Linked DNA regions of Caenorhabditis elegans. The protein of the gene in region 1 purifies or fractionates together with the protein of each later gene. This does not show direct contact. Each region holds a gene or a part of one and is shown in the gene's direction. Other genes may lie near its edges.

Evidence for each region.
Region 2: the proteins of apg-1 (region 1) and dab-1 purify together in Caenorhabditis elegans (affinity purification with western blotting, with the first as the bait; one study listed by BioGRID). This does not show direct contact.

Annotation. Positions count from the first base shown.
Region 1 is NC_003279.8:14,404,118-14,409,029, forward strand, and holds the start of apg-1 (AP-1 complex subunit gamma), read left to right. Parts: upstream 1-1,910; 5' UTR 1,911-1,925; coding exon 1,926-1,987; intron 1,988-2,049; coding exon 2,050-2,254; intron 2,255-2,300; coding exon 2,301-2,425; intron 2,426-3,224; coding exon 3,225-3,921; intron 3,922-4,912. Other genes in the region: tcab-1 (WD_REPEATS_REGION domain-containing protein), read right to left, coding at 755-916, 965-1,121, 1,168-1,388, 1,437-1,532.
Region 2 is NC_003280.10:8,220,445-8,228,444, forward strand, and holds the start of dab-1 (PID domain-containing protein), read left to right. Parts: upstream 1-1,943; 5' UTR 1,944-2,031; intron 2,032-5,871; 5' UTR 5,872-5,885; coding exon 5,886-5,994; intron 5,995-6,275; exon of another isoform or gene 6,276-6,396; coding exon of another isoform or gene 6,397-6,457; intron 6,458-6,503; coding exon 6,504-6,559; intron 6,560-6,612; coding exon 6,613-7,032; intron 7,033-7,108; coding exon 7,109-7,749; intron 7,750-7,794; coding exon 7,795-7,942; intron 7,943-8,000. Other genes in the region: ifg-1 (MIF4G domain-containing protein), read left to right, coding at 1-293, 340-565, 637-798.

The DNA of each region.
Region 1 (4,912 bases):
ACGGGAAATTTTGACTTAAAAATCACTAAAAACGGTTGAAAATCGATTTTGGGTGAGGCTTAGACTACAAACTACAACTTTTTTAGCCTCAACCAGAATTGGTTGAGGCTCAGAAAATTGTAGTTTGTAGTCTAACTTTTATTGATTGTTTTTTATATAAATTTTAAGGGAAATTTTTTTAAAATGTTAAATTCTGAAACTTATCAAATTTGCAGAAAAACGACTATACTACAAACTACAAAATGGTTGAGGCTCAAAAAGTTGTAGTTTGTAGTCTCGAAATGAATTAATAGGCGAAGATTTTAATTTTTCGTGGTTTTTCGAGTTTTTGGCACAAATTTGATTAAAAAGCAGCTTTAATTTGAAAAAAAGTGAAACATTTCTTTTAGAGACTACAAACTACAACTTTTTCAGCCTCACCCAATATTGGTTGAGGCTCAGAAAATTGTAGTTTGTAGTCTGAGCCTCAATCAATGCATTTTTGTTTAAAAAATTAGCAATTTTCAGTTATTTTTAGAGGTTTTTGGCACAAATTTGATTAAAAAACAGATTTTAATTGAAAAAAAAGTGAAAAATTACTTTTAAAGACTACAAACTACAACTATTTTTAGCCTCACCCAATATTGGTTGGGGCTCAGAAAATTGTAGTTTGTAGTCTCTGAGCCTCAACCAATTTTTTTTGGATTTTTATGTAAAAATGTCAATTTTTAAGCATTTTTTTTTCGTTTTTTTTTTTGCAAAAAAAAAAACCAACCCCAGCATCTTTTCCATTATAAGCACCGAGAATACTTCCATTTTCCGTATCAAATAGCTGAATTGGACGCAGTTTTGACGACGAGAACACCCCTTTTCCAGAGTTTTCCCAACAAGAATCCAGCACCAAATTTCCCGTATTATGCTTCCATATCACTTCTGGCTGCAATTTTTAGCGTTATTTTACAGAAATTTTGGAAGAAAAACCGACAGTTTCATCTATTTTATACATTCTTATAAATCTATCCTGTGAAGCCACAAGAGCCCGGTTTCCCTGTTCATTTTGAATGGAAAAGTGCACAAAATTATTATTTTCCGTTGATTTATAGCCGAATTGAGCGTTGTACGAGTTGAAAGTGGCTTTATCGCTGAAAATTTCAGATTTTTTGACTTAAAATTCGAATTTTCAGATACCAAAATGTATTTTTAAGATTTGTGGGGATTTCGGCGATTTCTACAGGTTCTTGAGCTTTTTTCTTGACTTCTTGGTCAATTTCCTGCATTCTCTGGAGTTTTCGCTTCTCTTTTCGATTTAATGGGCGGTTTTCTGGGATTTCTTCGGGAATTTCTTCTGAAGCAGCAGCCTCTGTGGTCGATAGCTCATCGATTTTCGACGCAAGATGGTCACTGCGGAGCTAAAAAGCAAGCGGTTTTTCTTTGGAAAACAAGTGAAATTTAATTACCGAAGACAAAAGCGACGCTATCCCGCATCTTTCAGCGCGGAGAGACGGTTTTTTCTCCTCCAATTCTTGTGAGGACGACGATTCTTCGGTGTTCATCTGGAAAAAATCGATTTTTTTGGCGAAAAGTTCAAGTTTCAGTGATTTTTAATCGAAAAATTGAAAAAAGAAAAAAAACAAAAATTAAATTCCCCCTACTACGGTCTGCAATCGGGTACCTCCACACCAGACCTCACGCGCAATTGCGGACTCGCCCCCTGCGTTGGATTGTAAAATGCAAAAAATCAATAAAATTGCAGTGTTGTCACTGATTTTTCAGCTTTTTCTAGTGGATTTTCGTGATTTTTTGATTAAAAAATTCATTTTTTCACTAATAAGCGTCGTTTATTTCACTTATTCCACTTACTTTCACTGCTGAGCTGTAAAAAAAACTAAAAAACTCCAAAAAAAACGTCAAAAAATGAGGAATTTTTGCAGGGTGAGGCTCCAAGGATGGCGACGGCTGTCGAGCTAGCCATTGAGAAGATCGATGAGTATAAGTCGAAGATTGGAAGGTTTGTAACATTAAAAAACTCAAATTTTTGCGAAATTTCCCCAGTAAATTCTATTTTTTCAGAACTCTCGGCACTCCGATGCGGCTTCGAGACCTAATTCGGCAGGTCAGAGCGGCACGAACGATGGCTGAAGAGCGAGCAGTGGTGGATAGAGAAAGTGCGAATATTCGAGAAAGCTTCCGAGACGATGATTCTCCGTGGAAATGTAGAAATATCGCGAAATTGCTCTATATTCATATGCTCGGCTACCCAGCGCATTTTGGACAGGTTATTGAACCGTTTTTCGCCGGAAATTAAATTATTTGTTATTCAGATGGAGTGCATGAAACTGGTGGCTCACCCCCGATTCACTGACAAACGAATTGGGTATCTTGGAGCTATGCTTCTTCTCGATGAACGATCGGAAGTTCATATGCTCGTCACTAATTCGCTTAAAAAGTTAGCAAAAACCCATGAAAATGAAAAAATCTTGTTTAAAAGCTTTTTTTCTGCGATTTTTCTCATCAAAATTTGATTTTTTGAAGAAAAAGCAATTTTTAAAGGATTTTCAATGCAAAAATGAGATTTTACAGTAAAAAATGCTATAGAAAACAAAAAAATCCGAAGAATTATTATTTTGGTTGAGGCGTAGACTACAAACTACAACTTTTTTAGCCTCAACCAGCAGCTTTGGGGAGGCTGACAAAAGTTGTAGTTTGTAGCCTAAGCCTCAACCAAGATTTTTAACTTGATTTTGCTCATTTTTAGTGATTTTTCATCAATTTTTACTATTTTTCGAGCTAAAATTAGTGAATTTGGTTCTAAAAACTGGAATTTTTGCTTTAAAATTCACGATTTTGCTAGAAATCCAAATATAAAACGATTTCTTCCAACTTTGGTGAGGCTGACAGAAAGTTGTAGTTTGTAGTCTTAGCCTCAACTAATATTTTGCTCATTTTCAATGTTTTTCATCGAATTTTCACTATTTTTCGACGAAATAATAGAGAAATTGGTTGTAAAATCCGGAAATTGAGCAAAAAAGGTGAAAATTTTGCTAAAAATCCAAATTTTAAACGATTTGTTTTCCAATTTGGTGAGGCTGACAGAAGTTGTAGTTTGTAGCCTGAGCCTCAACTAATATTTTGCTCATTTTCAATGTTTTTCATCGAATTTTCACTATTTTTCGATACAATAAAAGCAAAAAATCCCAATTTCCGCGGAAAACTCTATTTTTTAAAACTAAATTCTTCATTTCCAGCGACCTCACCTGTTCCACCCAATTCGTCAGCGGACTAGCTCTCTGCACTCTGGGCTCAATTTGCTCAGCGGAAATGTGTCGAGACCTGGCCAACGAGGTTGAGAAGATCATCAAGCAGAACAATGCGTATTTAAAGAAAAAAGCGGCGCTCTGTGCGTTCCGTATCGTTCGAAAAGTGCCGGAGCTGATGGAAGTCTTCATTCCATGTACCCGATCGCTTCTGGGAGAGAAAAATCACGGAGTTTTGATGGGCGCAACGACTTTGGTCACAGAAATGTGCGAGAAATCTCCGGATGTCTTGAATCATTTTAAGAAATTGGTGCCGAATTTGGTACGGATTCTAAAGAATCTTCTAATGAGTGGATATTCGCCGGAACACGACGTCACCGGCATCTCTGACCCGTTCCTTCAGGTCAAAATTCTGAGATTATTGAGAGTTTTGGGGAAGGATGACGTACGTGTCACTGAAGAGATGAATGATATTCTGGCGCAAGTGGCAACGAATACGGAAACGGCGAAAAATGTCGGAAACGCGATTCTCTATGAGACTGTACTCACGATTATGGAGATTAAGAGCGAGAGTGGCCTGCGCATTTTGGCTGTGAACATTCTTGGACGATTCCTTTTGAATACGGATAAGAATATTCGATATGTGGCGTTGAATACGCTTCTGAAGACTGTTCATGTTGATTATCAGGTTGGATTTTGTGGAAAAAAAAAAAAGGAAAAAATGGCGATTTTGGCTCAAAAATTGAGGTTTTGGCGGTGGGTTGAGGCTGAAAAAGTGTGTAGTTTGTAGTGTGAGAGCCTCAACTAAATTTATTTCATTTTATTTCTGTTGTTAATTTTAATAGAATTTTTTAAAAAATTATTCTGATGAGTTTTCAAAATGAAAATCGCATGTTTTAGTAAAAATTGTCGAGAAAAACAAGTTTTTCAACGAATTTTCGAATTTTGTAGCTTGGTTGAGGCTCACACACTACAAACTACACTTTTTCTAGCCTCAACCAAATTTGGGGAGGCTGTGGAGTTGTAGTTTGTATTGTGAGCCTCACTCAATTTCAGTTCATTTTTTGTTTATTTTAACAGAATTTTGAAAATTCAGTTTTCAACATGAAAATCGCCTAAAACTTGTCCGGAAAACCAAGTTTTTTGACAAATTTGCAGCTTGGTTGAGGCTCACGCACTACAAACTACACTTTTTCTAGCCTCAACCAGATTTGATGAGGCTGTGGAGTTGTAGTTTGTAGTGTGAGCCTCAACCAAATTTATTTTTAGTTTTCTATTCCGTTTTCGACGTGAAACTTAGCTTTTTAGTAAAATTTTGCCTAAAAAATCAGTTTTTCAATAAATTATTCCATTTTGCAGCTCAAACTGTGTAAATAATAATTGGTTGAGGCTTACACTACAAACTACACTTTTTCTAGCCTCAACCAAGTTTTTAGAGGCTGTGGAGTTGTAGTTTGTAGTGGGAGCCTCATTCAATTTCATTTTTTTCCGTTTTGAACGTGAAACTTAGCTTTTTTAGTACAATTTTCCCCCCAAAAAAACCCAGTTTTTCATAAAATTTCATATTTTGCAGGCCAAACTGTCCAAGTGATAATTGGTTGAGGCTCACGCACTGCAAACTACACTTTTTCTAGCCTCAACCAAGTTTGGGGAGGCTGAAGAAATGTGTAGTTTGTAGT
Region 2 (8,000 bases), on another chromosome or scaffold:
GACGATGAGCTGACTGAAGAAGAGAAAGCTGTCAGAGCCAAGATTATGAATACCGTTAAATCCGATCTTCTAGAAATGTCTAGTGGTGAGCTCTCCCAAAAGGAATTGGTTGACTCTATCACCGATTATGTTGGAAAAGAAAAATACGGTTCGCCGTCATTGACAGTAGTCTATGAGATGATTATCCGAGCTGTGATCGAAAAAGGTTTGAAGGATGATGATCGAAAGAAGTTGGCTATTGCTCTGCGGATGTCATTGGTCAGCAAGACTGAGAAGCAAGCTTTTATAGAGGGGTAAGGCAAGAGTTTATGATTTATTGAGCTTTACAAATTATTTCAGAGCTACCCGTTTCTGCAAATTCGCTAATGATGTTGAGCTCCAGCAAGATTATCCCAAATTGTGGACCGTTACTGGTGAAGTTCTCGTGAACACAAGTCATGCTCCACATGACGAAATTGGAGAAGTTGAATCTTTCTCATTAGCGGACATGAAGCCAATTTTCTCAGCTGCCAAAGGAGAAGGAAATAAGAAATTTGACCTTCTTGTTCAAGTTTTGAAGCAATTGGTGAGTTATTGCAAATTTTAGTGCTCAGATTCAGTACATTGCGTTTATTTTTTTAATTTAATTTTTTTCAGATCGAGCTTGAGCTTGAAGTGACTGGCGCTGCAGAAGGAATCTCGTGGGAGTTTTCGGACATGAAGTTAAAGACTGAGATGGAAGAAGGACTTTCAGCAGAAATGGAAGCAGTGACGTTTAAAAATGGAAAAACGTTGTCGAGCTATTTGACGGGCAACTAATTTATCGTATTTTTGGATTTTCAAACTCCACAGTAGATTTATAGAGAACTTTTTTGTGTGCTAAAACCCATTTTAATTATCTATATAAGAACGAGTTGTTGATAATACGGTCTAAACATGTCAAGTTTTTCGTTTTTTCGCCGCGCGTCCATCCCTACCGATTTTATGTCTTATTGGGTATCCCATTAATGGTTTTCGATATTATTGCTTGTTTTTCTTTTGTTAGAGGTTTGCAAGAAAAGTTTCAAAATGAATAACTGATTATCATGATTTAGCTGAAGTAAATCAATTTTCAGACATTCAGATCATTTTTCCTGCAAACTTCCGCTCATTCTACAACTCGTCTCGAAACGTGAAGATTCTCTTCATTTTTCGTTTCGAGACGCAGAAATCAACTCGTTATAGCCCCTTTCCCACCCACCTTACCCTTTTCTTCTGATGATCACTAAAAATATCACGTTTTCCTCCAAATCATTAAATATTTATATCCTCATTTGGATTCCCGTTTCGTTTATTTGCTCCCAGTTCCCATTTCTTTCATTCGTTTTTCTATTTGAATAACCCTTTCATAGTCTCCTTGTTTATTGTTTCTAAATTAGCTGTTGGTTTTTTATTGGTTTCTCCCTTCATATTTCCATACCAGTTGGTCCCGAGAACATTTCTTGCTATGCTTGTTTTCGTGCTTAAAGGGTCTTTTCTAAGAGACGGTCGAAAAGTCGCTGAATTTTTTCGGAGTGCTGGAATTTCGTTGAATTGCATCGAATTTATCGTAAAACGAAGACTTTTGACTAGCTCTTAGCTTCATTTCTTTTCCAAATTTCCTAATTGTGTGTAAGTCAGTGCCTTCGGTCTGATTCCTGGATCTTCTAGAAATTGTGACAATTGGTTAATTTTAATATCCTCTCATCAGCCCATCTTAAATTTTCCACTTCCTTGAATTCTACGTTTTTCCTGTTTTAACTAATTGTCCTTCCGTTATTATCATCATCACCACCTCCACCACAAATAAAAATGGGCATCAAAATTGTTTTTTTTTTTTTTCATCATAGTTCTTGTTGGGGTTGTTCCCCATTTATATAGCTTGCTCTGTTTTCTCATCAAATGCTCACAGTTTTACGTTGACTCGATTTTGAATAAATATTTAGGAAATCGTGTCACTGGCGAATGTAAATGAAATCTAATATGAGAAGGAATAATATAAACAGTAATCGAGAGAATTTCGCCGTTTCGCAGGTTTGTTTGAATTTATTTAAAATTTAGACCTATAAAATTAAATAGTTTTTGAAAAAATTTGCTACAGTAACCTTTGATCTACCCGCGCAAATCTCAATTCTTTTTTCGTTAGAAACTTCATTCATCTTTCCTTGAGACAGGTTTTCAATTTTTGTCATTTTTCTTTACATTATAAAATTTTAAACTTTATTCTCGATCTGCGTAGTAATGGTGATGCTTGTCGAGGTTTGCGACAATGAATAGAAGAATAGGCAACTGATTTCTTTCAATTTTATTCGCTTCTCTCTCTCGTCTTCGCCTCAAAACTATTCTCTCAGTCTAAGACAAAAAACTGGTCTGGACACAGTGACTGTATGCAGAGTGTTTTTAACCCTTTTCTACCTCTCGTGTGCGCGCACGCTCACATACACACGCGGAGGATGTCCGTGAAGAAAAGAAAAGTAGAAGAGGATGAGAGACGTAGACATGTCCAGCATGCAGCATTAGTAGGGGTCCCTCTTCAGTCGATATTTGTCTCAATTTGAGTGGAGGCAAAGGAAAGCCGGCTTTTTTGGTGATCTGATCCTGTCAGTTTTATTTATGCATGATAAAATTAGTGGTTTCTGAGGCGTCCTTTTTTAAGAAAACTCGAATATCTTAATTATAAAATTATAAAATATCATTCAATATCCCTAGTAATGAAATTTTCTACCTTTTTATCTGAGTTTTTAGACGAAACGATGCGGGTTTTAAAAGAGTTTTGGAGATAAATACATTCTGTTTCCAAAAAAATTAACGCTTCGTACTGAACCATATTGTTGACATGGTGCATAGTGACATGGTTTCCCGTTTCAATAGAGCTTAGTATAGTAGTAGTTAATTAATCTACATCTTCTCTGTATGCTTTGTAGTAAATAAACATTATTTTACTTTCTATTTTAGAGAACTACCATTGGTACTCACAAGTTTCGTTTTCTTGTCTCTATTATTTAGTTTCCATGATCTTCACAATTTTGGTTTGAAACCATTGTCCATGTTTTTTTTTCTGCGCAGTTTCGGGTAATTATCCTGTCCCGCCGTTCGTCCCCACCCAATCCTCCCGTCAACACCAAAAAGCGTTCGTTCCGCTTCAATTACTTGAATCGATAGATGTTATTCGTCAATCCTCGTGGTCTCGGCACGAAAAGTCCCTCGCTTTATTCACCGTCCCTCCCACTCATGCTTTTGTTTAGATGAGTCACTATTGTTTCTTTCCGCCTACTACTACTGACTCGGCTGCAATTTTGACCTCAACTCCAATTACTTACGTGTTCGATCGATTTGGTTAGTGTGTCCTTCAGATGGTATTGTTGTGTGTTGAAGAAGTATAACACATTTCTTATTTCGCATCTTTTATTGTGTGTTCATATTGGAATTATAATCCCTTCGTAGTACGGTCTCTTTCCAATAATTGTTTTGATGCTTTTGAGAATTTTGGGTGTTTCTCTTCTCGATTTTTTGTTTTCAATAACAACAACAAAAAGAAATAAAATTCATTTTTTCGAAGTTACTTTTTGTGTTTTCAACGGTCACCTTCAATTTCCGCTCCGAAAAAGAACCTGATTTTCATAAAACGTCCGCCGCCGCTTCGTCGTCGTCATCAACAGAATTTTATCATCGCATCAGACTTGAATAGAAGCGAAAACGAAAAAAAAGACATCATTATATTAATAGTAATTTTCTAATGATGGCCATGATCACAAGTGTGTTGAGATTTCTCCGATTAGTAGATGTAGGAGACGTTGATGATGATGGTGCTGACGAAGTATTCAGTTAGATGAACGTTATTCTGCTTCTTTTCATTCTCATTCTTGACGCCTGCTTGTTTTCCGTTTCTCCGGTTTTTGGTTTGCCTCATTTGAATATATGCTACAGTACTCGACATGAGTGTAAATACTTAGGTTTCCGTATCTGACAGCTAAGCTTATTACGATTCCCGACGGATTTGACATTAATAGACCTAGCTGCATTAATGTTGTTCCTTTATTTTTGTCCTTATAATAATGCTGAATAAGAATGATATTTTAATTATTTTTGAACCGAACAAAAAATTTGCGTAATGTGCAGTACCCTAAAACGATTTCAAATTATCCCTATCGATTTGAAAGTTTTTGAAATATTTTGGTAAATTACGCTGGTTAGGATATAATTATTATGTTGCTATTCACTGTTTCCCAAGTTTTCAATTCGATACTAACCCATATAAAAGAGAAACAAGATTTTTCTTGCCTTCGTGTCTAACATCTTCTTCCAATATTTCGATTTTCTTGCCCATTTTCCCATCCACTGTCCAGGTGACGCATTAATTCAACGCAGCAAAATGTGAAATCAAGATGTTACGTAACGGGGGATCCTAGCCTAGGAATCATCAAGATCAGAGAGGTAAAAGGACATCAGATAGAGGCAGATAAATTCACAAGAGACTGACTGCAGCTGTCTTTCTTTTACGTCATGTTTGCAAAATGACTGGCGGCATCCCCGAAGGTGTGTGTGTCCTGTAAATCTAGTAGTCAAGCACACATTGAGTTTTGGAGGAAAAGGAGGAGTGTTCCGGCGAGTTTCCGCGCGGAAGAAGAGAGTGTGAGAGCAACTTGATCGTCTGGTTGCTGAGCAAAGCTACGCACACCTTTTGGCCATGTTTCCGTCGTTCTGGCTATTGTTCCATATTTGTATTGATTTTCCCTATTTGGTTTAGTCATGAAATGTTTCTCTGCAAAACTTGACGACATTACCTGATTGTTGGTCAACAAATCTTCTTTATTTTTGTCGTTTTTGTTACACATAAGAGTTTTGGGATCGCCCAAACGATTTCCGATAGTTTTATGGCTGATTTCTCTTGATTTCGTAATAATTCAGATCCTCACAGTTGTCGTATTCTCCAGTCAACACAGTAGTGACTCACTTCGGTTTGGATGACTAACAATGTCAATCTGTTTTCGTTTTCTTTCTTCTACTGTGATTTAGTGTTCTATTATGCATTGACTATTACAATAATTAAGTTACAGTCCTGATCTCGATTTTATGAAACTAACTACATCACACACTACGTACTCCCATTCCTGTCAAGATTGTAATCAGCTGATGTAAAAGAATGTCCCCTGACCGCAAAATAAATGAAGAACAGTCTATTTTTCTTAGTTCAAGGTTGACTGTAATAAAATAAAAAAGATTGAATTGAATATTTGTAAAAAATCAATTTCTCGGCTTCATAGAATTTTTCGCCAGATCTTACGCGCTCGGTCTCGCCACGCGGACAACGGGTTACTGTAACTCGTATCAACTTTAGATTACGTCTACGTAATGATCTCGCGTTTTTTGAAATATTATTCTGAATCATGTCATAAATTAATTAGAATATATCGTCGCTCAAATTGGAAAGGTGTGTCTTCAAAATATTTGTCAGTATGAAATAACTTTATTTACCTAAGAATTATTTTCAAGATTGCATAGTGCTTTTGAAAAGTATTGCTATTTGAATCCGACATTTTTTCTTATTTCCATTTCGAAAGTAATAACAAGTACATATCCAGTGTCAACTTGTCACCTTGAAGTATGAAAAATGACTACTGCACTTTTTCACGGTCGTCTTCATTTTTTTGTATTCTTTTATTCCGATATGGAGATGAAAACCGGTCGATCATGTGCCCCCAAGGGGGCTGATCATGATTTCACCCTCCTTTCACACTCTATCCCCCACCACCACCTCACAATTCTTTTTGGTCTCACTTTCGTTCCAAAAAGCTTTGTTATACTCTTAGTTTTCTTTTACTGTAATTTTTAAATTCTATTTTTTTTTCGTTGTAATAAATCTTATTTCTAAAGGTTCTCTCGAAACAATGGCTCAAAAGTCGGATATATCAGTGGAAACGGCAAATGCAACATCTGGAAAACCAAATCCACCATCACCAAAGTCCCGACTTGCAATGCTGAAGAGAACCAAGAAAGGTGAGAACATAGCTGAGTTCCGAAAAAATGATTTCTCAATTTTTGAGAGTATCCAATTGTGAATGTAGAGATATCAATTTGATAATTTAACGAGAAGATAGCCTTTTTGCCAATTTTCAACAGATAGATAATGTTATCTTTTTGTTATCTATAACATTTTCAGGAAAGAGTTCAAAGTTTATTGGTTCACTCTTTCTTTTCCCCCAAAAACTTGTGACAATGATCTGCCAAGCAGAAAGTTTGCTCCTTTCTTCTCTGCGTCTCACTTCGTTTTCTTATCTCTTTACGCTCTCTAGCGCCCGCTCTATGTGATTTCTATATCGATTTCTAACGAGTGTTTGTATACTTTTAAACTCATTAATAGATTTTGCAAATTTCATTTTAAGTGAATACCTAATTATCATGAAAAAGACGCAATTAGGGCGTTCGTTTTCCAAATCATTCAAGCAGAAAAAGGCGCGGGGTATGATTTACTCTATAATTATCAATCTAAAATTTAAACTTTTTAGCATCAAATGCATCATCGGATCCGTTTCGCTTTCAAAACAATGGAATTTCCTACAAGGTGAGTTTTTTTTAATGATTCATGTAGTAGTTTTTGTAAAATTGTTATTTCAGGGAAAGCTGATCGGAGAACAAGATGTGGACAAGGCTCGAGGAGATGCAATGTGTGCTGAAGCAATGCGAACTGCCAAGAGTATTATCAAGGCTGCTGGAGCTCACAAAACACGTATTACTCTTCAAATCAACATTGATGGAATCAAAGTTCTTGATGAAAAGAGCGGCGCTGTTCTTCATAATTTCCCAGTATCAAGAATCTCTTTCATCGCTCGTGATTCTTCTGATGCTCGAGCTTTTGGACTTGTTTACGGTGAACCTGGAGGCAAGTACAAGTTCTATGGAATCAAAACAGCACAGGCAGCTGATCAAGCAGTTCTTGCTATCAGAGACATGTTCCAAGTTGTTTTTGAAATGAAGAAAAAACAGATTGAGCAAGTTAAGCAACAACAGATTCAAGATGGTGGAGCTGAAATTAGTGTGAGTTTTTAGAATAATTCCAAAGATCCAATGCATTTTTAAATTATAAAAGTCCATTGTTATGACTTTATAAAAGTTCCAGAGCAAGAAGGAAGGTGGAGTCGCCGTCGCTGATCTTCTCGACTTGGAATCCGAACTTCAGCAAATTGAACGAGGAGTTCAACAACTTTCAACTGTCCCGACAAACTGTGATGCCTTCGGAGCATCACCATTTGGAGATCCTTTCGTAGACAGCTTCAACAGTACAGCCACGTCAAATGGAACTGCAAATATGTCTGGAACTCAAGTGCCATTTGGAGGACTTCAACTTCCACAAGTTCAACAAATGCAGATGCCAATGGTTCAAATTCCTCAACAATCTCATCAGAATTGGCCAACATCCGGAGCTGGATCATTTGACGCTTGGGGACAACAACAACAGCAGCAACAAATGCACCATGCTCATAGTACACCTGCTTTCGGAACAAACGGATTCTCGGATACTAATCCATTTGCGTCGGCTTTCAATACTCAAGCTCCGCCACCACCACTTCCAACTGTTGCTCCAACACAATACCGTGATCCATTCTCTGTACATTCCTCTGCTATTCCAAATTCAAATATTGATTGGACTGGAACTGGGACTACGAAAGAGAATATGGCACCATCTACTAATATCCAACAACAGCAGTCATCATTGCATCACGCCAGCACTTTTGCCAACTTTGGAGATAATAAGTGAGTGATATTCTAAAACCTAAATTAATAATAATCAAAAACAAGATTCAGGGCCGAAACCTGGAGTGAAAAGAAGGTGACGTCGCTTGAAGAAGCTTTCACGAAATTGGTTGATATGGACGCATTGGTTGGTGGACAGGGTATCAAGGAGACAAAAAAGAATCCATTTGAGCATATCTTAAACCCACCAAAGGTACAATTTAATCTATTTTACTAGCTTTTTAGTTTTTATCTTTGAAAATTGAAAAAAT